Lepisosteus oculatus: one gene and its partners. The protein of the gene in region 1 interacts with the protein of each later gene in a pairwise test. Links are inferred from orthologs where the notes say so. Each region holds a gene or a part of one and is shown on either strand. Other genes may lie near its edges.

Region 1 (7,086 bases):
TCCTAAAGAGTGATATTCACTGTAGATCTCAAATCTGAAGCCGGAGGAAAGCAACGGTTTAGGTTCGAATTTTGATTTCTCCATCATCCTTAATAAATCATGAAGCAAGTGAACCAGTGATGGATTATATTAGATTAACCAGATTCCTGTAGTTAAAACACATACATATTTTTACTAAAGTCATATCTTTATTACTGAGCCCAAATTGTATCCATTTCTAGATTGAAGATTTTTTAAATATTTACGCAGTTTTATGGGCAGGAAATGTACAGTATTTAAAATGTGGCGGCACTTTTGTCAGTAGAGGAAAGCAATCTACTAAAATGAAAATCATTAAATCCATATTGATTTTATCCAGCCCCTTAACCAACATTCAGCACTATTTCTATGTGCATATAAATGGAAATACGTCTGCTTACAAAAAAAGCTATAGTCAAATGTCTAAATCCCATTATAAATTTCTCTGGAGTTTGTTTGATGATCATCAGTTTATTCATTTAATTTGTAATACCTGATCTGCCATTTGAGAACTTCAGAATATTTTCTTCCATGAATTATGAAGGGAGGCTAATTATTTCTTTGTAAAAGGTTCAGCTTGTGCTGAGAAAGTAAATCTGTAGACTAGACATATTTTTGAGGTGATTCTTGGGATTTCTTAGATGAAATCAAAATGAGCTCAGCACCGCTTGAGGTGTATCGATAACTGGCTACACCATATGAAGATTCCCAGCATAAAATGTATGAATGTAGTGTAGATAATTAGCAAAATGTTCAATCCAACAGACATTTATGAGGTCTTGATGATTCTATTTCGGTGTGTGTTAGCCAATAAACTTGAAAGTTTACTTTGTTATAATCGCCAAGATCTGTTTTCTTCCTTTATTAACAGAACAATATATCACATATTTGAAGTTATGCTTGTAACGCGTCCAACTTTTCCTTTGTTTAATGAAGCAGACTATTCCTGCCATAATCAAAAAATATTCCCTGTGAAAACAGGAGCCCCTCCCCCCACAAAAAGAAAGTGAAAGAGTACAGTTCTAGTTAGTCAGATGTTTATTCTTATTTTGAAAGGGGGATTCTGAAAAAATCCACTTGATCACAGGGAGAACATGCAAACTCTACTTAGTTTAAAAATTCAACTTCTAAATATTAACCAAGCCATGCTTGACTGAACTGGCGAAGATGTGAGGACTAGATCTTATTTACAGTATCTGCAACATGATTACAGCTTCTATAATATACTGTGGATTACTGTCTTCCAGACAGAGAGAGTGAGAGGCTGTCAAAGGCTAAGAAAGCCCAGTAACTCTGAGAGCAAGTCCGCTTGAAATTTGTTAAGGAGAGCTTTAAGAGGAGAGATGCAAAACTCGGGGATTGCATTCCAGATGCTGTTTACAGACAAATAAGTCCCTAGTGACCCAGTCTGAATCACCGTAAAAGTGATGTTTTTTATTTTTCTCCTTTGGCCCATTCCCATAGCCTGTTATTAATAACCACAAGTACTTTCTTTCTCTTACGATGGTCTTTTAATAGAAATGTAGCTAATGAATTGTTTCCATCGCAGCCAGGAAAATTACATTGTTTTGTTGAGTGCTCTGCAGTCCATCCATTACACATTAAATCGTACTCCCAAACCCTTTATGCAATTTCACAGTTAAATATCTTCTTCACCTCAGGAGAAACAGCTGCAGAACCCCATAGAGTACATGAAATACTAACACAGCAGGGCAGACTTGAAACTGCATCAGGTGATATAAGCAAGCAAACCACAGGGAATTGTAGTGCTGTATCACAGAGCAGTTGCCATATGTACAGTAGATACAACCCATGTCAGAGCATCCCTAGGGTTTTCAGTCAAATGTCAGATAAAAAAACACCCTGAGGTGTAAGGAATTTAATTCAACATTTAAAGCTCAGCTACATCAGTCTTTATGTAAAAACCTCTTTCGTAGCTGAGACTGGAGGCTGTAAATAAAAATAAAGCACTAATACAGGTAAAGAAACTATTTTTACCACCTAGTTAAAAGTCCTTGATAATAATATCACTGTCTGCCATACACATGAATAATTTATGCATTCTCCCACCTTTCATGTTTTTCCTTTTTTTCCTGTTTTTTAAAATTTGTGGATCGCTCAGAGACAGACACTCCAGTTTCTCAAGCTAATGTAACAAAAGTGTGAGGTTTTCTAAAGTTACTGATATAACTGAAGTAGTCATTTGGGTTGATACCATTGAGAACTGTACAATTGTGGATTAAAATCAGTTTATCTTCTGTTTTCAGAGCTAACAAGATATCCCACTAACCTCTGTGCCATTGCTCACTTTTCCCAGCAGGCATTATTCCTGCATTTTCGTATCTTTCAAGTTCCCATCCCAGTGTTTTATTTCCTGTACACCTCAGTGCTTGCTTTTCCTGATTTTTGCATGAACATTTTGTCCTTTATGCAATACTCCTTGGAGAGCAGCCATGCATGTGTCCTGAGATTCCCAATACAATAGGGTTTAGTTATTTGCTCTGTCTGTTAGATTTTGAAAATGCAACATTTGACCTGAAATCTCTGAGGCAGGAATCTGCAGAAATAGGTTAGACCATCCATGAAAGAATGCGTTTGTCCAGGTTTTCCATATATAGATATAGATATTAGTAGTTCAGGTGGGTAGCTGCGTCAGCATGCGTAGGCTGCAAAGGAACAAGTAATAGGTTTATTCCATGCTGAAAAAAAGAAGAAAGAGAACACAACGTTTCAGCCGTGGAGCCTGCTCGCCTGAAGTTCATACCTGAAGAAGGCTCCACGGCCGAAACGCTGTGTTCTCTTTCTTCTTTTTTTCAGCATGGAATAAACCTGTTACTTGTTCCTAGATATAGATATGCCTAGAATAAGCCTTTCAGAAAGAGATGATTGTGAAGACACACTGAAATGTGGGAATTAGTGCGCAGTTACAGTATATTCCTTACCTTAGCCCTGTATCTGATACGTGTGGGTTCACAGAACTGTGCTGCAGTCTGTGGAAGCAAATGAAGTGGACAGAGTGTGGCTTGCACAGTGAGTGCTATTCAATCGTCCATCCAGGGCAGGGAAACAAGTTCAGGAACTGCAGACAGACGTGGACAGAGCGAGCCCATGTCTGGGACTGACGCCTGCTTGAATGGAGCCTTATTCACAGATGTCATTTAATCTGCGCCAGAAACCCAGACACACCGAACACTCAATGAGAATGAATGTGGAAAGGCTTGTTTCAAGACCGCAGGATGATTTTTTATGCACTGTTTTATGACATAAGCTGATACAGTGTTTGAAATCATGGAGGTACTGACAAAACATCTGTAAATACTACAATCTTCTTAAACTGATTAGATTAGATTAACAAATAGATGCAACAAGGTTTTTTACATCTAAACTCACTGGATTGAGCATATACTCTCCTTGTTTACCCTGTAGCTGTCAATCTGTTTGCTGATGTATCCAAACATGGCCTTAACAAGTTGCAGCATGTTAAGATCTCACCTGCCTGGGTCTTAACTAAAATTAAAATGCATTTTTTCAATGGAAAATTGAATTCAATTCTGTTTAATTTGCATGTTGTTCTGTTTAGTCTACACTAATTAATTGATATGTTAATTAGTGTACACTTGTCTCTGTAGTTGTAATTTTATCTTGTTATATTGTAAATTCGTTTCCATGATGTTACAAAACACACTTGATTGAATGAAAACTCTTATTCTAACACTATTTTTCTTTTGGTAGCAGATGTTAATGTCTCTCATAGTGGGGACAAGAAAAGACAAAAGGGTTCTGAAATAACTACAGCAAATAAAGATATGTAATTTATCATTGGAAACACCAGAGCCTAATTTATCATGATTCCTCATACCGCTGTCCTGGGGGTAACACAGCAGTGACGTACTTTTCCTGCGCCGTTGCGACTACAGTCGACTACAGTTCTACGACTACAGTTCCCAGAAACCTCTGTCTGCAGCTCGGACGGGTGTTTCCGATATGAGATCCGTGAGAAAACTGGAAACGAGTTTAGTACAGCTGTCGGAAGAGCTCGCAAAACGACGCGTGTGTTTATTCCTTGAAATCAGCCTTGTGTTGGAAGCTGTAGTTTTGCATTTCGTTTTATTAATGGTATATTTGTGTTGTTTTTTTTAGTTAAGGGGGAGACTTCCTATGATACTGCCTGTGTAAATTGTTTACATAGCTACAGCGCTACAGAGACAGGAGCTCAGAATGGATAGCATTGAAGTTGGGTATTGGGTGTTTAAATTGTTGTAGCAAGTTTAAATCTAGGTATACGTGCTGTAATAGTTTCTATTATTTTCCGGCTGTGGCGTGCTTGAGTCACTCGAGTGATGACAGCCGTTCAGGACGTGTAGGGTAACTTGCTGTTTCCATTTAAATTGAGTTTCGGTTCGGTTCGCTTGTGGACAGCACAGGCGACAGGGCAGAGGTGTCGTGAATAGCGCACTGGCTATTTTATCGCATGCATTCGACTGAAAGGGCAATACACGATTAACCCGGTGAACAGTTCTAAATGACGTTTTATCCTAAACGATTAACCAGGCTGTTTTTTTTTTAATCTGCCAGTGAGCTACGCGAAGGATGAGCAGTTTCGGACGCGTTGACGGTGTCGCAAGTTGGGTCTGGTCTCGGTGATCTGCGACTCCTGTTTCATGATTGCAGCGCGTAGTCCAGCTCAGCGAGTCTTGCACGGCCGAGGAGGAGAAGTTGCCGTCTGTACCGCAGCCCGGCTCGGGTGGAGATGGCGGCGGCTTCCGCTCCGGGCGGTAGCGGGTCGGGACCCCCAGCCGACCGGGGCTCGGCGGCGCAGCTGCAGCCGACGGTGGCTGTCTGGGAGTGGGCGGACGACCTGGGGTACTGGCGCCCGTACAGTGGCCAAGTGAGCGGGTACATTGAGCGGTGCCTCCTGACCCAGCGGGGCGGGGGGCCGGCGAACACCAGCATCTCCCTGGGACAGGCTGACCCTGCCCTGGCGCCCTACATCATCGACATCCCCAGTCTGAAACAGTTTCGCCAAGACACGGGTAAGTGGCTGTGGTTCTTCATTTAGAAGCGTTGGTTAGTGCCCCTGCGCCTCTGGGTTGCGCCGGAATGTGACCAACCTTTCTCTTGGCAATTCGTGTAATTTGGAATTGACTGAGTCTCCTGGGATTCCCCGTCCTTTTTCTTCTCAACGTTACTGAGTAATCGTCAGTGACGTAATGACTCTGTCAATGTCTTTTAGCTCTGTAGACGTTCAGTGTGTTTTTTTTTTAAATTTCCAGTGTTTAATCTTACAAATCTAGCACTTCATCAGCAATGGTGCCCGTCTGTAGGTACAGCAGCGTCAGTGTATACAAGGAAGCAGGATCCTTTACTAAGTTTTCAGCTCAGTTGAGAAAATAGTGCAGTTAGTTCGGCAGGCTATACAATATAGGCCTACTGAGTGGTGTTTGTCAGTTTTAACTTTTGCCCATCAAAGAGCCAACTGCAAGCTGAAAGACGGATGGAAATTAAAAAATAATAAACCAGTCGTATTTCTCAGCTATAAAATCTATTTCAGCTGAGATTCCTGTGACATCGGTAACTTTCAGGATGGCAAGAGATCACCAGACTGCAGTCTCATCAGTGGGGAAGAGCTCAAGAGTGCATATTTCACACACATCACTGGAGGGACCCCAGCTGTTCAAACAGATCAGTTACTATGGTGTCCAAATCTGATGGCCCAATTTCTTTGTTTTTCTAAATGGTGAAGATTGCTTAAGGTGCTGACTTGTTCTCATCTTGTGCATGTACTGTATGTTTCTTGTTAATGCTTTCATGTTGTGTTAAGTGTATTGTGTGTTGTTATATTATGTCTTCTACCTACCCCCAGAGCATATTTCCTATCTGGGACAACAAAGGAAGTATGTAAGCAAATGTGTTAATTAGTTAAGATTCCTTAGCAAAAGAAAAAAAAGTCCCAGAATGTTTAGTTCACCACTGAATGGGTGGAGGTATGATGGAAACTGCAGTAAATGCACAGAGGACCTGAAACAAAGAGGCCTGCGTGTGCTGGCGAGGAGGCAGTGTGCAGCACTGGAGTGCGTCTTTGTTCTGAGGGCTTGTTACTGGCACACGAGTGGCTTGGAGCAGGGTGCTTGCTGCCACCTGCTTGGTGCAGACGGGAAGCTACAGAAAAACCGCAGGAAATCCAAACTACATTAACTTCAGCATCTGAACATAGCAGGAAGCCCAAAACAGTCTATTGGTGGGGATCAGCAGCCTTTCGCACACTAGAAAGAGACGATTCTGCAAGCACAGGCAGCTTGTATTGATGGAAGTGTAGATTTTGCAGCCTAGGAAAAGACTCCCTCTGACCCCAACATTTATGCCATCAAGTTTACTTTTTGCTGCAGCATTGGTCTTGGTAATTTCTGCTTTCCTTAGGTTGAAACAGGATTACAACCAATGTCCTTTGATTTTTCTAATCAGTGCCATGATTGCAGAGGATTAGTGTTGTGGCTTGTTTTAGTCCTATTGAACACAGCACTTGTCCAAAAAGACCATCAGCTTATACCAATGGTCAGTCCTGCTTGATCTGACCATGTGGCTCTTTCTGAGTAGAAGCAGAAATTTGTGAGGCAGTTGACCTCTGATTAGATAATAAGAGTTTCAAAGATTGTGTGGGTGGAAAAAACCTAGTAGCAGGTAACTTTTGACTGGGACCGATAGGTGATGCACAATAGTGACAGTGCTCAGAGCAGATAATTGCATGGGTCTTAATGTAACACAACAGATAAGTTCCCTAAGCCTTTTAGATATAGAAAACCATTTCTGATATGCCTAAAAAAAGTGAAAAATGTCTTCAAAAACAGAAGATAGCATTTTTATCATCTTTTGAAAGGTCATTTTTTGGTTGGTTTCTTGTTCCTGAAATTTGAAATCATTAATATGAGGAAAGAAAAACAAACAAACTGCATGCTTCATTTTTTAAATTCTCATTAGATTATTAAACATTTAATATCCATCCACTTTTTTTTCTTTTGCCTTATCCAATACAGCGTCTAGGGGTGTACAGTAGCAGAGCCTAACCTGGCA
Region 2 (7,358 bases), about 1.2 Mb from region 1:
TTAAACAAACAGAGCCCATGACTCCAGCCAGCTGGGTGGACTGGAGCTAATTGAGTGAGGCTGTGATCATTGAAGGGACACAGCAGGGTCTGTTGGGCCTTGAACCCACAATCCATCGGTTGTGAGTACAGAGACTCAAACACTACATGGCCCTAAGATATACAAGGCAGTATTCTAATATTATTAGTCTGTGTATATATACACACACTGTTTCTTATTATTGCCTCTGTCAAGCCAAAGGACAATGTCCACTTATTTCTTGTGGACAATAAAATAGATTCTGATTGAGATGGTGCTGTTAATCTTTTACTGAAAGTATTATAACACATTTTTCACTGTGTTTACTATGATACTGTTAATAAGGATCATTAGAGTTACATGCAAGCCTACAGTCACTTAAGAAGGACGGTTTGCCAAACTTCATAGTTACTCAACCGCCCAGTGTAGCAGTACAGTCATTTTTTCATCACAACGCAAAAAAAGGCATCTCTTTTTCGTAACTCTTCTAATTATATGCATTTCTCTCAAAAGAAAGGTTTTCATTTCGCATTCTTATTTATTATTGTTTATTTATGATCATACAACGCTGTGTTTAGTAGTCGTAGTAGTTTAGGGAGCTCGTCAGCAGACAGGTGTGTGCTGCCCCCTGGTGGCCGGACCCCAGGCCTGCCGCGGCCGCCATTGCTCTGTCCTAATTCCGCCGCGGCGCGTTTCTCCGGCTCCTTCTCAGGGACAACTTACTTCAAGATGAATGCGCCGCCGGCATTCGAGTCCTTTCTGTTGTTCGAGGGAGAGAAAAAGTGAGTAGTACACGTTTATTAATCGTCTGTTTTTAATTTTGTGATGAGGTGTGCTAAATTATTCCGAAGAGATGCTGCGATAGCGCCTCGCTCATCGGCAGGAAGCTGTTCCTGGGTTGAAAACATATTATCTCCAGGCTTTTGGCCCAGTATGAGTAGAAGTAGATTTTAAATTATAAAACGTAAAATGTACTGGTCGTGGCTGCGTTTTAAATACCTGTGAAAGACTGTTTTGCTTTCTTTTCTTTTCGACGGAAGCGTTTGAGGGGGAAAAGAGATCGATTGCTTCCGTCTGGAATTTGCTATCGATGTTTTCCGTTTTCTGCCAAACCGTTTATCATTATTCCCTCCAAAAAATCTCAACAAAACCCTATTTTGAGAACCCTTTGCCCCCCCTTTTTAGTGGTATGAACGGTTTTTAATAAGTCTTATCAGTGTATGTTGTTTTACGTCAGAAATACCTTGTATATATTGTGCGCAGAGAGCGGAAGGGTTCGGGTTTGTGTCCTTCGTAGTTTGTGAATGTTCAGATTTCTACCTAAATACATTATCGGAGTTGAATTGTATTAATCTAAATACTCATAATCACCCGAGGTGACACCCGTAGAAGGCTCCTCGGGCGAAACGTTGTGTTTCTTTTCTTCTCTTGTCTAAAAGATTTAAATGTCATAATTACAACCGTAATATAAAGGGTGTGGGATATAAAAGCTGTGTATTATGTGATTACGTTCTATGTTTCTTTCTGAGCACCCTTTTCTTGCGTTATATTTAAAGTCCTGAATTCTGCCTGTTTTTTCACCAGTTTTAGAGCTCAGCCCCATTGCCACACTGTAATTGAAATGTAAAAGAAAATGCCTGTGATGCTTACTTTGTTTAAGGCTGGGGTAGCTCAGGCTCCCTCTGTCTGGTGACTGTACCTACAGTTTGTCTTTGCTTCTGTTGTTTCTTTAGAATTACAATAACCAAGGACACGAAGGTCCCCAATGCCTGTCTGTTCACTCTGAACAAAGAGGACCATACCCTTGGCAATATCATCCGATCGTAAGTCAGCAATTCATAGACTTGAGAGAATTTTCTTTTAGGCAAGGTAGTTTACACTGCACCAATTTATAACTGAATCTCATTTATAACCAAGTGTAAATCTCTATGGAGGGCCAAAAATGTTTGCATCGTTTTCATTAGGACAGGATGATTACATCACCTATTATTTTCACATATCAGATGCATCAGTGCTTAGTTCCCATGACCCCTTCCGGGCCTGGAGCCCAGCAGAGATGATTTACAAGCTCCTTGTGCTCAATCCCCTTACCGCTGTGTCTGTGACCCACCTTCACATGTCCGCAGGCAGCTGCTGAAAGATCCTCAGGTGCTGTTTGCGGGATATAAGGTGCCCCACCCCCTGGAGCACAAGATTGTGATCCGTGTGCAGACCACCCCGGACTACAGCCCTCAGGAGGCCTTTACCAACGCCATCACTGACCTCATCAGCGAGCTGTCCCTGTTGGAGGAGAGGTTCAGGGTGAGTCTCGACCACCTGCCTGTCCGTAGGGAGATTACTGGGGCCAGAGGGTGGACAGTAGATGCCCGAGGCAAGGCGATGGTACACAATAAGAAATGATTTACATGCTGTACAGAATTATTTTACAGAGGAACATGCAACTCGCTTGGTGGTATAGCAGGAACAAAATAAAACCCTTTAGCTATTTTTTTCTATGGAAAATGAAATAGTCTAATCTTATTCATTGAACCTTCATGACACTGCTGTAAGCTGTGTGCCAGTTAAGAAGAGATGAAAGTATTTGCTGTTTATTATTACTGTTCTAGTGATTTAAGAGTGACTTCAAACACCGTGATCTTCCGGGGTGCAGCCAGATTGAAAACATGCTGAATTCCAGCAGGAGTACTGGTTAGAAATTCACCTAACTGAGCAGGGATTGGAAACGGGCCTGTATTCATTAGGAGAATTCAACATCTCATAGGTGATAGGGCTGTACTATCACTAAAACCCAGACAGAAATGCTTGTGATTTCCTCCTGGTCTGTTGGAGACGTGCTCTGAGTCTGCGGCAGGAAGCCCTTCCTGGCTGGTGTGAGTTTCGCTCTTGGGAGATGAGGGTTGTTGGGGGGACTACTGACACATCTGTCTTGCAGGTGGCCATCAAGGACAAACAAGAAGGGATTGAATGAACGGTGTCTCCTGCTCAAGTGCTTCTCCCTCGACTTTGGATGCTGAAAGAGCTTTCCCCCCATCAGAGCCCTGTTCATCATGCATTTATATTAAACCCGAGTGTTTCGTGAGCAGGGCCTGTCCAACTGCTCCCATGGCAGGGCACACCCGTGTGGCAGCTCTCCCCGAGCCCAGTGGTGTGCCTTGCTGTATGTCCTACTGTGTCACATAGTATCAGTGTATTAGTTCACTGACTGTCTTCCTTTTCATTTCCAAAGCTGTTCTGTCAGAGCATTCAAGCAATTATTGTAGGAGCTGTAATGATTATGGCAGGTAATGTTCTAGTAGGTTTTGATTTCGTTTTATGTAGGTTTATTCTATAAAGTTTGATTTAGTCATTATTTGAGATGTACAGGGTAGGCTTGTAAATTATGACGTCCCTGTCTGAATTTTCAATACTGTTTGCGCATTATATAAATGCTTTAGCCCCAACAAAAGCAACCTGTTCAAATAAAGTCAGGTTTTTCAGCATCTTAATTGTGAAACATAAGGCAGCCAGTGTGTTTTTGAAAACTATCTTGTATTTAAGTACAAGACTAATTTACAAGGTGCAAATATATTATTGTTTCATGAGAAGGTCTGTCTTAAGAGGTCTGAATCATTCTGTCATCTAGCTGGTCTCAATTAATTGAATTTACTAGTCAGCAAGGAACATGTGTGTTTCCCACCCTTTTTGTAATTGTTTTTAATAATGTGCGTACATCCAGAGTATGTTGCTTTGTAGTCGGTAAACCCTGATTTACTTGTAAATAACTAGAATGTTACGTTTTGTAAAATATTTGATTAAAAAATTGAAAAGTATACTGTTGTGTTTTGTTTTAACTGGATGTTGAGTGTGTAAATTGTAGAACTCCCAGTTTCAATTCATTTTCGTCAAAAGTCATTAAGCCGATGAGAAATTTATTTTAAAACTCTCCTGCCTGGATTTCTAAGGGTATCGATTTGTTTGATGTTCTTCACATGCTGTGGGTTAAAAAACAGTAAATGCTCATTTTTAGGATTTTATTTGCTTAAGCAAAGACTTTATCTGTTGGATAATGAAAAACGAATGGGAGCTTCCTGGACACTGAAGTAACAATCACTTATTGCAGAATATCTCAATTTTGTTTCTTAAACAATCACTGCTGCTGTTTTTTACGCATTAGATATTGTACTGTTAGGTATAGATACTGTTGCATGACGCCGGAGACCCAGGTTCGAGGGCACATGCCCGGAGAACCCGAATCCGTTACAATGTGGAACCATGTTTGGCGGAAAGAAGTTCCGGGGGGCACATTTGGATGTAACACTGGAGGGCTTTTGTGGTGGTGCTGTGTGATGATCGCTCCCTGTTGATGGTCGTGTTTACACCGTGGGATTGTCGACCTTTATGGCGGACGAAGAAGTGTTACAAGCCAACTGTGCCTGTAAAGGAATCCGCTCCTGTCTGATCTGTGAAAATCGCAATGGGAAACTGGACAACCGGATTAATGTACAGCAGGTACGATGTCACACTGTACGTGTACTGAGAAGTTTCATACACCAGATTTCGCTCTTTGGCATTATTTAAACTGTAAAATCAAGTTTCAGAATCTCTACTTTGTTTTGATCATTACATTCGCCGCTACAAGGATACCTTAAAAAATGAGCTGTGGGATTGTATACAACTAATCCATTTAAGAATGCTTTCAGTCCGAATGGTAAAAAAAGACTTTACCCCCTTTTTAATGTACTCGATACATTCATGACTAAATAATACACTCCATTATCAATCATCTGAAAATATAGACCACCATCTGGTAAATGCAGTTCACCCTACAGTTAAGAGAAGATCTGAAAAGTTATATTTGCACAATTTTTCATTAATAAATGGAAACAGCAAACTGATGTGCTGTATAATGCTTTGAGATGCAGCTTTTTTCCATGTGATTCTTTGTTTTCTATTCAGCATCATTATTGTTGGGATACTTGTATTTATTAAAGCAATTTTTGGATAGAATCCTGGGGAACTGGATTTGGACACAATCCCCAGCAGATGGGGCCATAAAATAGATCTTTATACTATAGTAGCTGGACAGTTCCTGACTGCAGAGTTGTAAAGCACTTTCTGAATTCTTTTTTTGCTGTTGTTTTCCCCTGATAAAAAATGCCTGAAGAGATTGGATTCCCCGACGGTCTCCAGCACTCTGTTGGTGCTGTTCTCAGATTACCCCTCTCCTCCTTTAGAAGACTCTTAAATATTCCTAAACATTCTTGTTTTACTCGTGAAGGTGTTAAGATGTATAGCACAGCATTAAAGGGGGATTTGTGTTTGTCTGGGTTTGTATGCGCACGTGTCACGTGTCGCTGCGTGGCGGTAAGGCCCTGCGGCAGGTCGTGAGCGAGCCGTGCAAGGTGTGAACATCATGGCGGTTTCTCTGGCCACACAGCCGCGCCGGGTCTTCGTGTACGAGCCGTCCTCGGGGCTGGCGGTGAGAGCGGAGGCTCCAGGAGTCCAGGAGTCCTTCCCGTTCCCCGGGGTCCTGCTGTGGGAGAACTTCGTGTCGGAGGCGGAGGAGCAGGAGCTGGTGAGCGCGATGGACCGGGACGCCTGGAGGGACTCGCAGTCCGGCCGCAGGAAACAGGTCCGGTAGCAGGAGAGGCGCTCGGTGACTCGTGTCTTTTCTCCGTGTGCTCTTTCCCCCAGCGACGAGTGCTTCTCTAAATGAACAGCACTCTCCAGGAAACGACATGCACAGCTGATTCATGGAAAAACCCTGCATCTGCTTTTTTACATCCTTTATTGTCATTATGCGGGGGCTAATGATATTATTTTTTCCCACATACATAAAAAAGAAGCAGACAGTGTTGAATTACTTTTTACATCATTTGTATAGTCTGTTGCATCTTTGTTCCTATCACATGACTGAGAGTCTCAACATAGCTTTCCAGTTTTGATGATCTTTTTACAAATTGATGGCTAATTCTGTGGGTATTTCTTTCCATGAGATAGATTTCGTTCCTAGAGATCTTCAACATCTGAACGCTAGGTCTGTCCAGCTTCGACTGGTTTCTGGTGATTTGGTTCAGGCCTGCGATTCAGACGTTACCCAAGGGGCACTTTTCTGCCTCTGCTGTTCGTCCAGAAGCAGATTTCTAGGGTCCAGTTTAAATCTCAGAAAATCGTTGATATTTCCGCAAGCATCTTTCCCCAGTCTCTGCGTCGTGTGGGGTTTTATAAGAGACGTGTCTTTCCGCACCGTCAGACCATCGTTCTGTGGTGCCCCAGTGACTGTGCTCCTCCCCCCCAGGACTTCGGGCCCAAGGTGAACTTCAAGAAGCGGCGGGTGAGACTGGGGGGCTTCAGCGGCCTGCCCCCGTGCAGCCGGGAGCTGGTGCGCAGGATGGGCCGGGCGCCGCTGCTGGGGGGCTTCCAGCCCGTGGAGCAGTGCAACCTGGACTACAGCCCCCAGCGCGGCTCCGCCATCGACCCCCACCTGGACGACGCCTGGCTGTGGGGCGAGCGCCTGGTCACCCTCAACCTGCTGTCCCCCACGGTGCTCACCATGAGCCGGGAGCGGGCGGGGGCGGGGGGCGTGTGGGTGCTGGTGCCCCTGCCCCGCCGGGCCCTGCTGGCGCTGTACGGGGAGGCGCGGCACCAGTGGGAGCACGCGGTCCGCAGGCAGGACATTCGGGACCGCCGGGTCTGCGTGACCTTCCGGGAGCTGTCTGCGGAGTTCCTGTCCGGGGGGGAGCAGGAGAACCTCGGCTCTCAGCTGCTGGACGTAGCCCTCAGCTTTCAGGGGATCCCAGTGTAGCAGGCCCTGGGAGTCCAGCTGGGGCGGAAACCTTCTGGCCTGGAGCCCAGGGGTGTGTGGCCCAGGTGTTCGGATCTCCCCGAGAAGATATTCCATGTGCTTAGCTGAGATCCCTCTCTTCTGTTGTCTCAGCTTGATTCTGAAAGAAATTGTGTTCAGCTGTTTGTACGTGCTTGACTGTATTTATTAAACTGTTGATTTGAGGTCTGAGATGAATCAGTGTTCTGTCTGAACGTCCCGTGGTGGATATGGAGCCTACGTGCACGCGGTGGTTTGAGGGAGTCTTCGCCTTCTGAGGAATGTGGTATTTTGTTTGGTAAAACTAAACGTTGTAGAGGAACAGGATGCTGAATGGTGAAACACAGAAATTTCAAGTGTGGCTATGACCACTTCACTGCTGCATGAGGAGGTCAGACCTGGAGTGATTACTGCACAACAGACAGATAGATCCCAGTTTTTTGTGCTGTGATGTTCATGTTCCTGCTTTTGGAGGTGGCCTGAGGCTTTGTTCTCCATTATGTTCGTTGAGAAAGGTGTATAGTTCATGTGTAAGGTT
Region 3 (7,355 bases), on another chromosome or scaffold:
GATTATACTACAATTAAATCAATTTAAAAAAACAGTTTAATGACTGTTGACACTAACGTAGACAATCATTAGCATTAGCAAACATTTTATTTCTTCATCCTGTTTTTTAGGTTCAAACATGATTTGCCTTTACGTAAGAAAAAGAGAAAACGACGGACTGAAGTAAAAGCACAGGCTATACACTTTATTCAATATCAAGAAGGCTGCAATAACCTTTGCTGCTGTTAACCTAACTGTAGGCTAAATGGATTTGAAGACACACTTCCAATATAATAAGAATAACTGTCTCCCGACTAGCCAAGAAAGTACATTTCAATGAAGCAGATTCAATCAAGCCTAGCAATACATGAACATTCACATTACAAGATTAAAGTACAACGCACAAGCACAAAATATCTTTCGGGAAGAAAAGTGATATACAAACGCCAGCGGTTATTTTTCATTCTAAGAGTCTGCACCGAACCTAGAATACCGTTTTGCAAAAAAAAAAAAAGAAACGAGAGCCTGTGACATTATTACAAGTCAGAGCTTGGAGAGGGGGTTGGAACAGCACCTTCCGAGCTGAACAACCCTGTAAAATGCAGGGCAGCTGGAGGAGCCCGAACCCATTAGACTAACCACCACCCTGTGGGATGACATTAAAAGAAACCCGACCTGCCGAGGGAAGAAAGAGTTTTACACATTCACGCTTGGATTTCTGCACCCTTGTGGTCTTCCCATTGACTCTTAAGTCCATTTTTGTTTCCCAGTCTATAACCCCCCAGAATGAAACTCGTCGCGGGGTGAAGGCAGACACGAAACAAACCGTTTTGATACCAGCAGGTATAAAACACCTGCTCTCCAGCCCTCTTCTCAGGAACTCCTCGCTCCTTCAGATACAGTCCAACAAATACACCATTATCTGCACACGTGTATGTCTGTTTTTATTCTTGTACGTGCAGGAATTTATTTTGATTTGTTTTACATAATGAAAGGTGGATTATAATTAATCCACATGCCATTCATAAAAAAATATATTTTGTTGCTAAAAAAGGGTCATTCATATTGTGGCGACCTTCTGGAAATAATCGAACCCCTGACAAACAGATAACAGCCATGAGACTTTTTCTCAAGGTTTGCCCTCCCACTAACAGTAATACAACCCCACACACGCAGGACGTTGGCTCCAACACATCTGTTAATTAAAAGCTATTGCCACTTGATTTCTGATTGCAGAATGGAAAGCACCTGACAACGAATTAAGAAGACATTTAAGACAATCCCACTCCAGTCAAAAGGCAACTGAATCCAAGCTTCCCCTTCAAAACAAATATCTCCAAGCACCGCGAGGATGAACAGAGGTTAACTCGTCCTCCCGGGAGCACTTGCCAAACACAAAACTGCAAGCATCGGGGAAAAAAGGGATCACAAAGTGCCTGGCGGGAATGAGAATAAAGCATTCCTTAAATGCCTGCCAATCACGCTGCAACCTAAGAATAAAAGAAAACCTGTGTGGCACAGACAGGATAAGACAGTACTGTAAGTAAATGCCTACCCACTTTTCTTGCATCTCATTTCCTATGTCCTATGGACATTACCGGCCTGCTTGTCAAGCTGTTCTCCACAATCAATACGCTTGGTTGAGAAACCAGGACTGACTGTAAAATGACTGTAAGACACAAATACTTTCAGGGTAGGACATCAAGGAATGATGACCCCGGCAATATAGCAGTCTGTTCAATGTATTGCTTATTTCCGCAATTATCCTGATGGAATACTGCACTTCATCAAGAAGATGTCTTCGCTGCGGATCGTTAGTCTGATCGGGGCCCTGGGAAAATCTGTAACCCTGGAGAGCTTCTGAAAGAGAGTCCCGGCGCCCTGCAGGTAACGTCCTAGCACGGCCACACCGAGAACACACCACCGTGAGCCGGCGGCCGTGGAGCCCGCGGAACCGCAACGCCAGGCACGGATGAAATAAAACCGCAAGGCTGAGTTTTGTGGGGAGCTCTTCAGCGGTGCGTCGTGAAAGGGCTCATCAAACAGCCGTGCCAACGTCTGCAGAACGAGTGTGCGCGACCACAGCTCTCGACAGGCAGGGCAGGCGCGGACATCGCCGGGCACTCCGCACGCCTTTACAGGCGAAATGAAAACGGGGAAATAAGGGTTTCATCTAATGCTCACGGAAGCTGTGGTTGGGGGTGTGAAAAAAAATGGCCTTAACACCTTAACATTTCATTTCTGAAAACTCAAGACTGCTTGTAACGCTTACCATAGGGACAGCATGAACTAACACAAAACCACTTCTCCGCGTTATTGATGTGAAGGCGATCATTAGGGGCGACGCCTGGATGGCTGAGTTGCAAGAAGATTAATTTACTGTAACAAATCCGTTTTTACACCCATCGTCCTCTTTTACCGACATTTATAATTTTGCATCATGGGCATAATTCGCCACAGCAACGCCTTACGATACGCAGGTTTACCTGACGAAGGCAGTCGACAGGCATACCGAGTCACAGGACAAACCTCAGATCCCCGCTGACAAACAGCTGGACTGGACGTAGCCTGCAGCTGTAACGGTATCGCCTTTCTAAAATAAAATCGACTCTCGGCAGCAAGACATAAGGGAACCGAATTCCATAAATTAAAAAAAAAACATGAATGCATTTCTGTAATAGCTTTAGTAACGAGCGTAACATTAACAGATCAAATGCACTCGTCTCCCTCAATCCCCGAACCCGCCTCCCTCTATACCCACTTACTGCAGTGCAGTCATTCCTGGGAACGGCCATCTGATGAAAAAGAGATAGACCTTAAATGTTATTTTTTTCAGTTCCCTGGCAGAAACACAGCGCTCGGAAAGAGATCTCTAAAATCAAGAGGCTTTTCTCGCCGCCGGGTTTATTAAACTCCGCGCAAAGAAGCAGGCCCACGAGCGACAAACCGTGCAAAAGCGTGAGTGAATTTCATCAGTATGCTGACCTGAAACGGACCATGCGTTAAACGGCTGCTGATGAAAAGCCTTTTCGCGAAATTCTTTTTTTTTTTCTCCCCGAGTCACATTTCATCCATGTTCGCCTTCCTCATTCAACGGCGGGGCGAATATGTTTACGTGGCCCCTTCGCGTTGCATTGTGGGTGCCCGGCCGCGGCTCACGCTGCGCCTCGCGCCTGTGTGCTTCACCTGCACAGGTTAGTAAAATCAGCGCTACTGATGTTTGCTCGTTTTTTTTTTTTTTTTTTTTAGATGAGTAAGTAGGCCTAAGTGATAAATATTAAATATTTGCATCAACTGAAATCAAGTAATAGAGCATAAAAAAACACTAACAAAGTCTACAAACCCGAGATGAATCGGTTTAACAAATAATTTAACTCAATGTCCTGGACATCGTTCCTTTGTACAGGAATGTGTAGCTAAGCTGCTATTATTACACGGGAGCTGAAGGGTTGGTTGCAGTTTACTAGTGATTTTTTTTCTCCCAAGAGTGTCTTAAAGGATTGCTGTGCAGCCTTGCAGTCACCTCTCAGAAAAAAATATCCCAGTGATCATTCCTGCAGGTTATTTGAGATTCACAGGGGACACAGAGGGGATCATGGGCAAGATACAGTCACTGACGTATTTGGCTAACAACTTTATTGAAAGCAGCTTTCATGGATGCCCATTTATACAGCTGGGTGTTTTACTGGAGCAGTCTGAGGTCGGAGGCCACAGCAGCAGGGTTCCAGCTGGGATTTGAACCCACGGCCCTACAGTTACAAGTCCAAAGGCCTAAAGACGGTTCCCCACGTGGACGGATTGAGAGAAAAAGGAAATGATGCTAACAGAGAGATATTCTTCTTGGGAGCAGCAGTGATAACTGCATATATCGGAGACGCAGAGCCCGTTATTCTGACATGAGGCAGGGTGAAGGCAGCCATAAATAAGAAAGGCTGCAAGAGACAGGAAGAAGGCAGAGCTACAGGATGAAGTGGAAAGAATAACCCTGAGCCTGTTCTAGGTCCTTTCTGAGTACTGACCCCAGTGCTAGTTTGATGTGCCCTAGGGTACAGTCTCCCAGCAGGACGTAGGTTTGTGACCTGCTTGTCTGTTACAAAAACACTGAGCTTTATTAACTACAGGCTGTCAGACTCCTCTTCAGACTTCCAGTCCATTCCACAACCCTGTTTGTTCAGTCCAATATTTTGATTAACTGGAATACAATTCACCATTCTACAAACAACTCTTTCACACCTTTAAGCAATGTATCTGGTCATGTTTTAAAATGTTTAAGCACACCAACCCAAACCCATAATTGAGATCTGAAGTCCAGGAGTTGAGTATGACACACTTGACCGACCATTGAGGATGTGGCTTCTGTCGCAGGGAGACTGCAAAGGTATTTTCATTATAAGCCAAGATACAGTACTTGTCATTTCACTCTCAAGAAGGGAATAACATGGTCTTCCTTCATAGGGCAGTGGGCACTGGAATATCACAATGAGCTACAGGGTCAGTGACTGACAGAAGATGGTGACTTTGTTAATAGGAGCAGCATGGAACAGTCATTACTGTTTTACCACCAGGTGTGACACAAAAGAAAGTCAAGGTAGGGTATTACCTTCTCTCTTTATAAAAATAAATTGTGAAGTCAGGGGAAACTACAATCTAACCATATGTAATAGTAGCTGAGCTGCATATTGATCAAAGGAAGTGCCTTAAACAGAACCTAGCAGAGTATGTGTTAATACTCTAGAGCTGCAGGCGGTTTTCAATAAAGTTTTAGACTGCTATAGAGTAGTAGTAACGAGTAACGTGAGAATGCAATGGGTAACCACTATTGAAAAGAAAGAATAAGAAAGTTGGCAATAAACTATTACATTATCTCATTAACCACTTGAATTTCTCACCCTCAGGCAAGCAGGCGACCTTAGTGCATAGAAAGCAGAAACTGGCTTCCAGAATGTGCAGTTCCAGATTCATTTTAATTAGTGCAAGTGATTTCTTACCATTCTGAAGTTTAGAGAAGGCCTCAAACAAGTTTAGAGCACATCATACAATTTTAAACTTTGTTTATGAAAACAAATTATGAATATGTTTTGCTACTAAAAGTAGACAATCCAGCTGAAAAATATTAATTATACCAAAGTACAGAACCCTTGTGAACCCAGAGGCAAAAGTTAAATTCTGCTCTCATTATTAGAGGCGTACTAAAAGACTGTATATATTTTTGGTTTCCCCTTCAGGAGCAACTTAATTATTAATGAGATGACTGATTTTTAATGATGAAATAATGCTTTGATAGGGGTCTTGTGAAACTCAGTTTCCAATTTACTAGTTATCTCTGGATGAACTGAATCCTGCAGCCTCTATTTCACTTGCTAAATCATTTTCACACAATGATTTGCATTTTTCAATATTCCTTTTCAATAGGATTCTGGTTGGAGTAAGTAGTATGATCGATGCAGATGAGCCTTTTTAAAAAGAAACTGCAATGTACACAACCAATGAAGCATAAGAAAATATTATGACTGTAAGGGACAAGATGCGTGAACATTTCTGAGAGAGTTACTGGAGGCATCCAACAGCACAGGCTGTAAGGGGTTTCTCTCATCTCCTGGTTCTCCTTTACTGAACTTGAATTAACCCGTCTAAAGGGTGTTATTTACTCTGGCAATTGGATATCAAATTCAGTTGGTCTGAACTTCATCAAGAGGAAACAAGACAAATGGGTCTTTTTCAAAGCCTTGTATTTGAAAGAGTCTCTTTGGGTGACTTTTAGTATAAAATATTGAAGATCTAGACTTACACTGAAGTTTTACAGAAGATCACTTTTATTCTATATTTGGTTAATCTTAGAATTTCCTGTCCCAGAATGGTACTAATGAGTTCCTGGAGATCTCCTTCCTCAGATAATGAGGTGCTTTGCATGCTGGTGGTGATAACAGTTAATGTTTCTCTGTGGTGTTCTGACAAAATAACTATGAATCAAGGAAATGTTCTTGATGAAATTCTGTCAAGTTAAGCCGATGCTATATTATCATTCATTGTGTCCTTATCTTGTTACTAACTATATTCAGTCACTAACTGGATTGAATCTTTACTGTATTCATATTCATTATTTCTGCATACGCATTTACCTCTTGTTTATTCCCATGACGACTATTATAATTTTAGTAGTTCAAGATGAACTGCGATTTGATCGTAAATGTTAAAAAAAGTCTTCCTGAAGTGTTTCTGATGCACCATAAAATCTGTCAGGAAAGGTCGTGTTTTTTTTTAAAGAAATTGCTGTCATCTCCCAGGACACGCTCCATAAAACAGTCTGGAATTATGAGGGTAACCTTGAGGCTCTTGAACCAAAAATATTTCTGAACCACGCAAATGCACCATACTCTGGGAATTAACCAGGCGTGCCATTCAAGTCATCATAAATCCTTACTTGGAAAGGTGGCAAGCAAACTGCAGTCATATAGTAGATAAAATGTATTTTCCCTGCTGCCTAAACTTTTCAAAATAAGCTGATGCAGTTTGGTAAAGGTCAATATCTATGCCTGACATTACTTAGAGACAAGAAGTACAAAAGGCATTTTAATGCAACAGATCACTCTTCTGTCTCTACGGAAGGAGCTGAAATCTTATGAACCCCTGAATATTTCATTTCTTGGAAAAACTGTTGGGCCGGGTCAAAGAACCATTTAAGTCTGATATTGTGCAGAACTATATTTTCCAGGTTGTACCAGAAATAATGACTTTAAATGACAGCCTGAAAGTGTCGTGCTCTATAGAAATAAAACTTTATATGAATCTTTCTGCAATGGATATCCAGTAATTTAGTAATGATCTTGAGAAACATAAGAGAAAATGTTTTAATTTTTGTTTGATAACCTCTATAAAGGCCAGAATTTTTTTTATTTGACTTGTTACATTGGCAAATTGTTTTTGTGAGGTGGTTTCTGTTTTTCAATTATACTGTTTATTCTTATTTAAAAAAAATAAAAACTGTTTCACAAAACATTTATTTTTTCATTTTATTTGATTGAATTCCCTTACTCAGATTGCAAGAAAACTGAGCATAGTAGATTCACTAAACATGCATATTGCACAAGCTTTAGTATTCTGCTCTAAACACTGTTATACCACAGTGATAACCATCTCCTTTTTAGCAACACTCTGAGCACTAACAGAAACAACCAAAGCAATCGCCCAATTTTTCTTAACAGAAACGTAGACAATTTGATCAAGCAGAGTGACTGTGAGGGTAAACAAAACCCATTTATTTGTTGATGTGCAGATTGGTAAGTTAAATTAATCATTTTTATCGGTATAGGTGTCACAGTTCATTTGAGAGTTTTACGCAGCACATTGGAATTTAAAGTACAAGCGCAACTGACCCC
Region 4 (7,914 bases), on another chromosome or scaffold:
CGAAACCTTTAATAAGGGAAATGCTTGTTTAAATTCTGCACACAAGCCTATGGACCTAATATTTGCACACATTGTGTTCTGTAGTGTTGTACTGTAGAGGACGTGGTCCAGCTGTTTCTATTATAATCACTACGAATTACATAAAATTACAAGAAAGGTTACAAATGAAAGGAGGCTTTTTGGCCCAACTAGTTTGTTTGGTGGTAGCTAAGCAATCCAAGGATGTCACCCAGCTGTTTCTTAAAAGGAGCCAAAATATTAGCTTGGATAACATGGCTGCTCCACACTTTCACACCTTTTTATGTAAATAGACACCTACTGTTCTCCTTTTTAAAGGCAATTTCTTATGTCCTCTGGTTGATGTCGCGCTGTTGATTTTAAGCCCACTAGACTGACATGTCAGTGCCTTTGAGGATTCTGAATACCTGGATTACATTCCCTTTACTCTTCTCTATTCAAAACTCATTCATTTTTTCCCCACCACAGTAGGACATTCCTTTCTGACTGGGAATGTGACTGTTCACTCTTCTCTTTTCCAGTTCCAGAACAGCAGTATCATTTTTTGTAATTTGGCTGTTAACATTGTATATAATATTCTGAATGAGATCTTATAAGTGCATATAAGTGCAATCCACTGACTAGCTTACATTCCGTTTGCCTTTTTATTGCTTTTCCACACTGTCTAGGAGATCTAAATGATGTGTCACAATTATAGAAATCTTGTTAAAACGCAGCGTTTCCCATATTATAACTAATTTATGTTTATATCAAGGATATGCTTTCCATTTCTCTAGTTTATGTATCTTTGTGCAACACTCTGGACTTGGGCGCATTAAAAGACACTTGCCAGATGTTTTTCTAGGCTCCTTGATTATTCCTCTTAAGAGGATTATTCCTCTTAAGGGAGTCTTGTAGAAGAGGACTTTCTACAAGACTCCCTTATCTTGGGATCATGTGTTGACTTGACTGAAGAATCCAGATGATGGATTTAAATTAGTGGGCCTTATACAGAATCCAGTGGAACCTCACTAACGACATCACCCCAGAAGTAAGCATCTGGACTCTTTCTATCCCTTTACCAACTTCTAATTCAAAGACATGCATTATCTTGAATGCCATCTTTTATAAAGACCTTGATCAATTTAGCTTTCCAAAAATCCAAATATATCATCTGCCTTTTAATTCAGCCATTACTGCTGCTGCTTCTTCTTCTTCTTCTTCTTCAGCATGTTAATATGTAAGAACTTGTTAGTTTAGCAAGACCTTCCTTTTCTAAATCTATTGATTACCCTCAGTGATTCTAATGCCATATAGAAGATTATTTTCTTTTCAAGTTTATTTTCACTTAGCATCATTCACATAATCTGACATGTAATAGGTACAGGGCTAAATTCATAGAGGCTATATTAGCAGTTTCCCAGTCACTGGATATTAGCACTACACTGTGTAACTTGCGTTAAATGATTAATAATAGAACATACAGTATTCTTAAGTGCAACTGGTAGAATATCAGACGCTGGAGTTATATTTCAGTGTTAACAGTATTTAAAATAGAACTTTATTTCGGCTCAGTTTGAGCATGTTGTAAATTACTTTTATAGTACCCAAGTGGAATATTAATTTTTCCAAGTGGAAATATATTCATTTATCATCTAAATGTTCTTATATTATTAAATGTAAAAATTATATTTTAAAAAAACTAAATATGAAATAAAATTGTTTTCCAACCTGTATCAAAGACAGTAAGATTAATTTATAAATGATGAAAACAGCCCATACACCGAGCATTTTTATCTTATTAAAATAAATAGCATGAAATCCTACATACATTCACATCTACAAACTCTGATCCTAACATTGTGTACTGTATTAACTGCTTTACCTTTCTCAGCTTTCAAGGGTGCATAAACAGAAAGTACCAATTCGATCTAAAAACATGTGCCTTTCAATTAAAGGCAAATGAAGTACAATTTACAGAAAACTTTACATGAACCTATGGAAACCGTAATTTGTACCATAAAAAATAACTAAGCTGCAACACTACAGTAGAAGCACGCTACGTGCATTTAAGAGACGATTTACGTGCAACAGAGTAGGACCATACTGTACTTAATGAACCATTTGTAGTTCTGTACATAATGACTAACATAAAAATGTTCGTACGTAAAACAAAATAAAAATCCAAATGTTTTAAAAAACGTTTCTGTCCTCATAAACAAAATTATTTTTGTTACCTTTAAATGATTTACACATTTCCTTGCAAGATAATCAACAGGCAGTAGAAGCAACAAGCAGTAAACGAAGTAACTTTGTTATAATAAACCTAACGCTACGCTGTGGAGTTGAAATTGGACATCCACGAAAACACATGTCAACTGTCTAACTATGGAAAAAGCTTCAAGATTTTAAGAGAGAAACCTATGAAGTCAAAGCGCGTAGGCTACTGCTTGCTAATGTATTCAGCAAGTCGTTTCCATTTCCAGAGACATCAGTCGGATTGTTGAGAAGATAGACACCTAAATGAATGTGGTAGAGTATTGTTGTATAGCTTACAGTTGTATGTTGTATGTAGCGATATGTTATAAACTGCATCTGTCTTTTCTCGGTTATTTCAGAAAACGGTACAGTGTCCTGTACGTTAGGCTCAGGGGGAAGGGGATGCTGTTTGAGTGACAGACATGAGCATAAACCCAACTGCTGGCTTCTTTTGTTTTAGAGAAAATAAACTTACACGATGCACAACCCCCTCGACAAGGGATTGAACTACTGGTAATAAAGAAAGAAATGATGGAATTAAACCACGTACTTACCAGTTGGATTCACAGCAGCGGGTGTTGCCATGTCGGCTCGTTGCAAAAAAAAAATAATCAAACGAAAAGAGGATAATGACGCACAAAGCAAGACGCGAGGAAAGACAATCAGAGCTACGGTGTTGCACTCGAGCACAATACCGCTCTTTACAACTTCATGAGCAATCGCTGCAAGGAAAACCGATCAAGGAGCATTTAATACGAGTAAATCAACCGAACTTAAACGTTTTCACCTCGTTTGTAACAAATAAGCTCCCTTTCAGATGCAAGATGTCTGAAAGGTAACACCGCGAGACTTCCCCTGAATTAATTAATATACAAAGTTTAGCATACAGGGGGAAGGCAACATCGTAAAAGTTAGAGGACGTGGGTGTTCATTGTTAATGAAGTTGCACATTGTGTTAAATATTAATTTCAACAACTTGTCTAATTTGATGCATCTCGGCTCTGAGTGATTTTACCACGCACCACATCAAAGAACCGCGATTTTCTTGTTGACGCGTTGGGGGGAAAACAGTTTGAGCTGGGAACCCAGGTCTCGGCGGTGCAGGACAGGACAATGTATTAATCTCACTCGCTGAGGGACAGTATTAAATCAAAACAGACTGTTTCTCCGGTACACTTAACATGGCAATTATCAAAGATAATTAACTTTTTTGTCCGGGTTAGAGCAAATGACGATCATCTAGTAAAGAATTACAGTACATGCCCTATCTTTTGTCAATTGAATTGTGATACATTGCGCAACCCTGCCTATTTTTATGTAGATTCTTAATTTTTTTGTTGTTTATAGTAATTAAGCCGAAGCAACGGTGTCACGGTAGATATAGATTTGTGTTTCAAAATGCAGATCAATCTAGTTACCGCGTCTTCTTTATCAGCAGTGATAAGAGACGAAAACTTTTTTTTCCACTTTAACCTTTGCGCATAAAAATTACTTTGAAATCTTTCTTGGGATTGAAAAAGAGGGCAGTATTAGTTGTCAAAACAGTCGAAGAAATAAAGTCAGAAAATTGTTTAAACGGCATGAGCAGTATGACGAAATTTGCAAAACTCATACACAACGCCTAATTTCAATTAAAACAAACTAGAGACTGTGTGGGGTTTCCAAGGACATAACTCAAGTATCAATGTCAGGTAGTAATTATGCTTGAAGTCCGTCGGGTACTCATGCTTAATCATGTTTTACATAACCAGAAGTATTTCTTTAGAAGATATTAATTTATGGCATAATCTCAAGTAGTCCTAAATTTAGATTTGATTCCATCTCTTTGTAGTTGCATACATGAAAAGCAATGTGGGAGTACTAAAATGCAATCCAAGATTATGAAATACCTCTAATTTGAATTATTTTCCCCCATATGTACTGTAAATGTATAGACAGATGTTTATTTAACCCACATACTCCAGATAACCAGGTGCATTTCCTGTGGTATGAATTGGAATATAGTCACATGTGAGCATCTTTAAAATTTAAAGTTGGAAGAAAATATTGTTTGTAAGTATTTTTTTTAGTTTGTGAAAGTGTAGCATTTCCAAAACTATGTGAAATTATGTTCAAAAGGCCAGCTATGCTGTTAAAACATATTTTGCTGTTGAACTTGAACTTGAACTTTATTGCCATATGTAACCGGTACTGGTACAATGGAATTCTTACTTACAGAAAGTCTCTCAATTGTAAAACAAGTGTAAAAAACAAGACAAAGTGCAAACAGTGCATCAAGACAATGTACAAACAATAGACAATGTGCAAGTAAACATGTAGACAGTTTGAATGTAAACAATACAGACGTGTAAACAATGACTGGAGATGTGCAATAGATAAGAAATCATAAAGAGGTAGATGGTGATGGTGTAGGTGTGGTCCGAGGGGGATGGCTAAATGTGTTCGCCAGTCTCACTGTTTGTGGATAGAAGCTATTGTTAAATAGATCAATTAAATCCAGTAACCCAAGGAGAATGCTCTCCTGATTGTAATGGTGATGTGCACAAATAAGGAACTCTTTTTCTAATATACTTTCTTATTATGTTGATATTAAATTTACACAGATCCTCAACATGATTCTTTTAGGATCAATCTATTGTTCCGTCAGCAAATGACGCAGAGAAACTTAAAGTACAAATGCAGGAGTGATAAAATTGTCTTGACTTGCAAATAACATAGTTAAAGCAAACATCCTTTGGTGCTAAAGTCCAGGCCAAAAGCCAAACAGGAGTGCACATCAGAGGTCATTCTCAGCTCCAGCAGAATTCTAGGCCGCTCTGGATTCTACTAACACAAAGGCTGCCAGACCTTTGCTGTCTAAAAGGAATCATGCAAAGTTTTGCAGAAATAGTGCTTTGCAAAACTCTCCTGTCCTTCCTCATTTGGAGGTTATCACTGTTGTCCCAGGTGAAATTACAGAGGTTATCGGCACCTTCACTACTATTGATATTGGTGTGTGTATTAAAACATCTTATTATTTTTGGGTTATTCACACCATTAGCTGAGACTAAATTGCATATTTTCAATACAGGTAAATCTAGCTGTAAAACAATATTTTCTTCCAACTTTAAATTTTAAAGATGCTCACATGTGACTATATTCCAATTCATACCACAGGAAATATGTCATAGAATGTTTTCTCTGGTTAGAACACGGTGCTTAAAATACAGTGTAATCAAAAAGCACCTACTGCATATCAAAATATTCCCAAATTATACAGTATTTGCCACTTATACCTTTTATAATGAGCACAGTGTATTACTGATGTACAGTGCCTTGCGAAAGTATTCGGCCCCCTTGAACTTTTCAACCTTTTGCCACATTTCAGGCTTCAAACATAAAGATATAAATTTTTTATTTTATGTGAAGAATCACCAACAAGTGGGACACAATTGTGAAGTGGAACGAAATCTATTGGATTTTTGAAACTTTTTTAACTAATAAAAAAATGAAAAGTGGGGCGTGCAAAATTATTCGGCCCCTTTACTTTCAGTGCAGCAAACTCACTCCAGAAGTTCAGCGAGGATCTCTGAATGATCCAATGTTGTCCTAAATGACTGATGGTGATAAATAGAATCCACCTGTGTGTAATCAAGTCTCTGTATAAATGCACCTGCTCTGTGATAGTCTCAAGGTTCTGTTGAAAGCGCAGAGAGCATCATGAAGACCAAGGAACACACCAGGCAGGTCCGTAATACTGTTGTGGAGAAGTTTAAAGCCGGATTTGGATACAAAAAGATTTCCCAAGCTTCAAACATCCCAAGGAGCACTGTGCAAGCGATCATCTTGATATGGAAGGAGTATCAGACCACTGCAAATCTACCAAGACCTGGCCGTCCCTCTAAACTTTCAGCTCAGACAAGGAGAAGACTGATCAGAGATGCAGCCAAGAGGCCCATGATCACTCTGGATGAACTGCAGAGAACTACAGCTGAGGTGGGAGAGTCTGTCCATAGGACAACAATCAGTCTTACACTGCACAAATCTGGCCTTTATGGAAGAGTGGCAAGAAGAAAGCCATTTCTCAAAGATATCCATAAAAAGTCTCGTCTAAAGTTTGCCACAAGCCACCTGGGAGACACCCCAAACATGTGGAAGAAGGTGCTCTGGTCAGATGAAACCAAAATCGAACTTTTTGGCCACAATGCAAAACGATATGTTTGGCGTAAAAGCAACACAGCTCATCACCCTCAACACACCATCCCCACTGTCAAACATGGTGGTGGCAGCATCATGGTTTGGGCCTGCTTTTCTTCAGCAGGGACAGGGAAGATGGTTAAAATTGAGGGGAAGATGGATGCAGCCAAATACAGGACCATTCTGGATGAAAACCTGTTGGAGTCTGCAAAAGACCTGAAACTGGGACGGAGATTTATCTTCCAACAAGACAATGATCCCAAACATACAGCAAAATCTACAAAGGAATGGTTCACAAATAAACGTATCCAGGTGTTTGAATGGCCAAGTCAAAGTCCAGACCTGAATCCAATCGAGAATCTGTGGAAAGAGCTGAAAACTGCTGTTCACAAACGCTCTCCATCCAACCTCACTGAGCTCGAGCTGTTTTGCAAGGAAGAATGGGCAAGAATTTCAGTCTCTCGATGTGCAAAACTGATAGAGACATACCCCAAGCGACTTGCAGCTGTAATCGCAGCAAAAGGTGGCTCTACAAAGTATTAACGCAAGGGGGCCGAATAATTTTGCACGCCCCACTTTTCATTTTTTTATTAGTTAAAAAAGTTTCAAAAATCCAATAGATTTCGTTCCACTTCACAATTGTGTCCCACTTGTTGGTGATTCTTCACATAAAATAAAAAATTTATATCTTTATGTTTGAAGCCTGAAATGTGGCAAAAGGTTGAAAAGTTCAAGGGGGGCGAATACTTTCGCAAGGCACTGTATTACTGTTGTGCTGTTGTATGTACATGAGGGTGGCTTGATGGTGTAGTGGTCAGTTCTTAGGTCCTAGATTTGATGGCAGACTGGAACATAAGGACATAAGAAAGGTCTGCAGACGGGAGGAAGTCATTGGCACATCTTAGTCACTTTGTAGCTTACTAGTTAAGCTAAGTTAATCTAAAATGTTATCCAGCCTTTTCTTAAAGGGGACATAGTTTGGACTCTAACCACTTGGCTTGGAAGCCTGTTTCAGACACCCACTTCACTTTGAGTAAACAAATGTTTCCTCTTTTCTATTCTAAATGAATTCCCTTTAAGTTTCCATCTGTGAATCAGTGTCTTTGACATGCTTATTATGTGGAAGACATAGGTGTCTTTGGAGATATAAGAATAGTCTGCTATCAAAAGGGGGTTATTCAGTCCATTTTGCTCGTGTACTTGTTTTGCAGCTGAGTGAATCCAAAATGTTGTCCAGCTCCTTCTTAAAGGTGCCCTGAGATTGGGCCTCAACCACCTGGTTGGGGAGTTTGTTCCAGACATCCACCACTCTTTGAGTAAAGAAGTATTTCCTGCTCTGTAACCTGAATGTTTTCTTCTAAGTTTAAGGATTTAGTGGCCACATCTTTTGAAATTTACCCCAACGTGTTTATTTCTTCATTGCTTCCCACGTTGTCTTGATGGGGACATACAGTAAAAGAATCTAAAGAAACATCCAAACTC

What was found.
Region 2: the proteins of dtx2 (region 1) and alkbh4 interact in binary tests that used the Homo sapiens proteins (3 or more experiments, as listed by UniProt). The two-hybrid records come from large-scale screens. The link is inferred for Lepisosteus oculatus from reciprocal best matches to the Homo sapiens genes DTX2 and ALKBH4.
Region 3: the proteins of dtx2 (region 1) and sec22a interact in binary tests that used the Homo sapiens proteins (3 or more experiments, as listed by UniProt). The two-hybrid records come from large-scale screens. The link is inferred for Lepisosteus oculatus from reciprocal best matches to the Homo sapiens genes DTX2 and SEC22A.
Region 4: the proteins of dtx2 (region 1) and arnt2 interact in binary tests that used the Homo sapiens proteins (3 or more experiments, as listed by UniProt). The link is inferred for Lepisosteus oculatus from reciprocal best matches to the Homo sapiens genes DTX2 and ARNT2.

What each region holds. Positions count from the first base shown.
Region 1 is NC_090721.1:2,532,934-2,540,019, forward strand, and holds the start of dtx2 (probable E3 ubiquitin-protein ligase DTX2), read left to right. Parts: upstream 1-3,968; 5' UTR 3,969-4,134; intron 4,135-4,593; exon of another isoform or gene 4,594-4,689; 5' UTR 4,690-4,768; coding exon 4,769-5,051; intron 5,052-7,086. UniProt on the Homo sapiens protein: Regulator of Notch signaling, a signaling pathway involved in cell-cell communications that regulates a broad spectrum of cell-fate determinations.
Region 2 is NC_090721.1:1,371,039-1,378,396, reverse strand, and holds alkbh4 (alpha-ketoglutarate-dependent dioxygenase alkB homolog 4), read left to right. Parts: upstream 1-4,303; 5' UTR 4,304-4,395; coding exon 4,396-4,506; intron 4,507-5,434; coding exon 5,435-5,629; intron 5,630-6,295; coding exon 6,296-6,802; 3' UTR 6,803-7,009; downstream 7,010-7,358. Other genes in the region: polr2j (DNA-directed RNA polymerase II subunit RPB11-a), read left to right, coding at 748-800, 1,752-1,841, 2,145-2,319, 2,951-2,986. UniProt on the Homo sapiens protein: Dioxygenase that mediates demethylation of actin monomethylated at 'Lys-84' (K84me1), thereby acting as a regulator of actomyosin-processes.
Region 3 is NC_090707.1:4,672,649-4,680,003, reverse strand, and holds the start of sec22a (vesicle-trafficking protein SEC22a), read right to left. Parts: upstream 3,082-7,355; 5' UTR 2,965-3,081; intron 2,813-2,964; exon of another isoform or gene 2,745-2,812; intron 2,471-2,744; exon of another isoform or gene 2,252-2,470; intron 1-2,251. UniProt on the Homo sapiens protein: May be involved in vesicle transport between the ER and the Golgi complex.
Region 4 is NC_090700.1:42,151,533-42,159,446, reverse strand, and holds the start of arnt2 (aryl hydrocarbon receptor nuclear translocator 2), read right to left. Parts: upstream 3,104-7,914; 5' UTR 2,842-3,103; coding exon 2,811-2,841; intron 1-2,810. UniProt on the Homo sapiens protein: Transcription factor that plays a role in the development of the hypothalamo-pituitary axis, postnatal brain growth, and visual and renal function. Specifically recognizes the xenobiotic response element (XRE).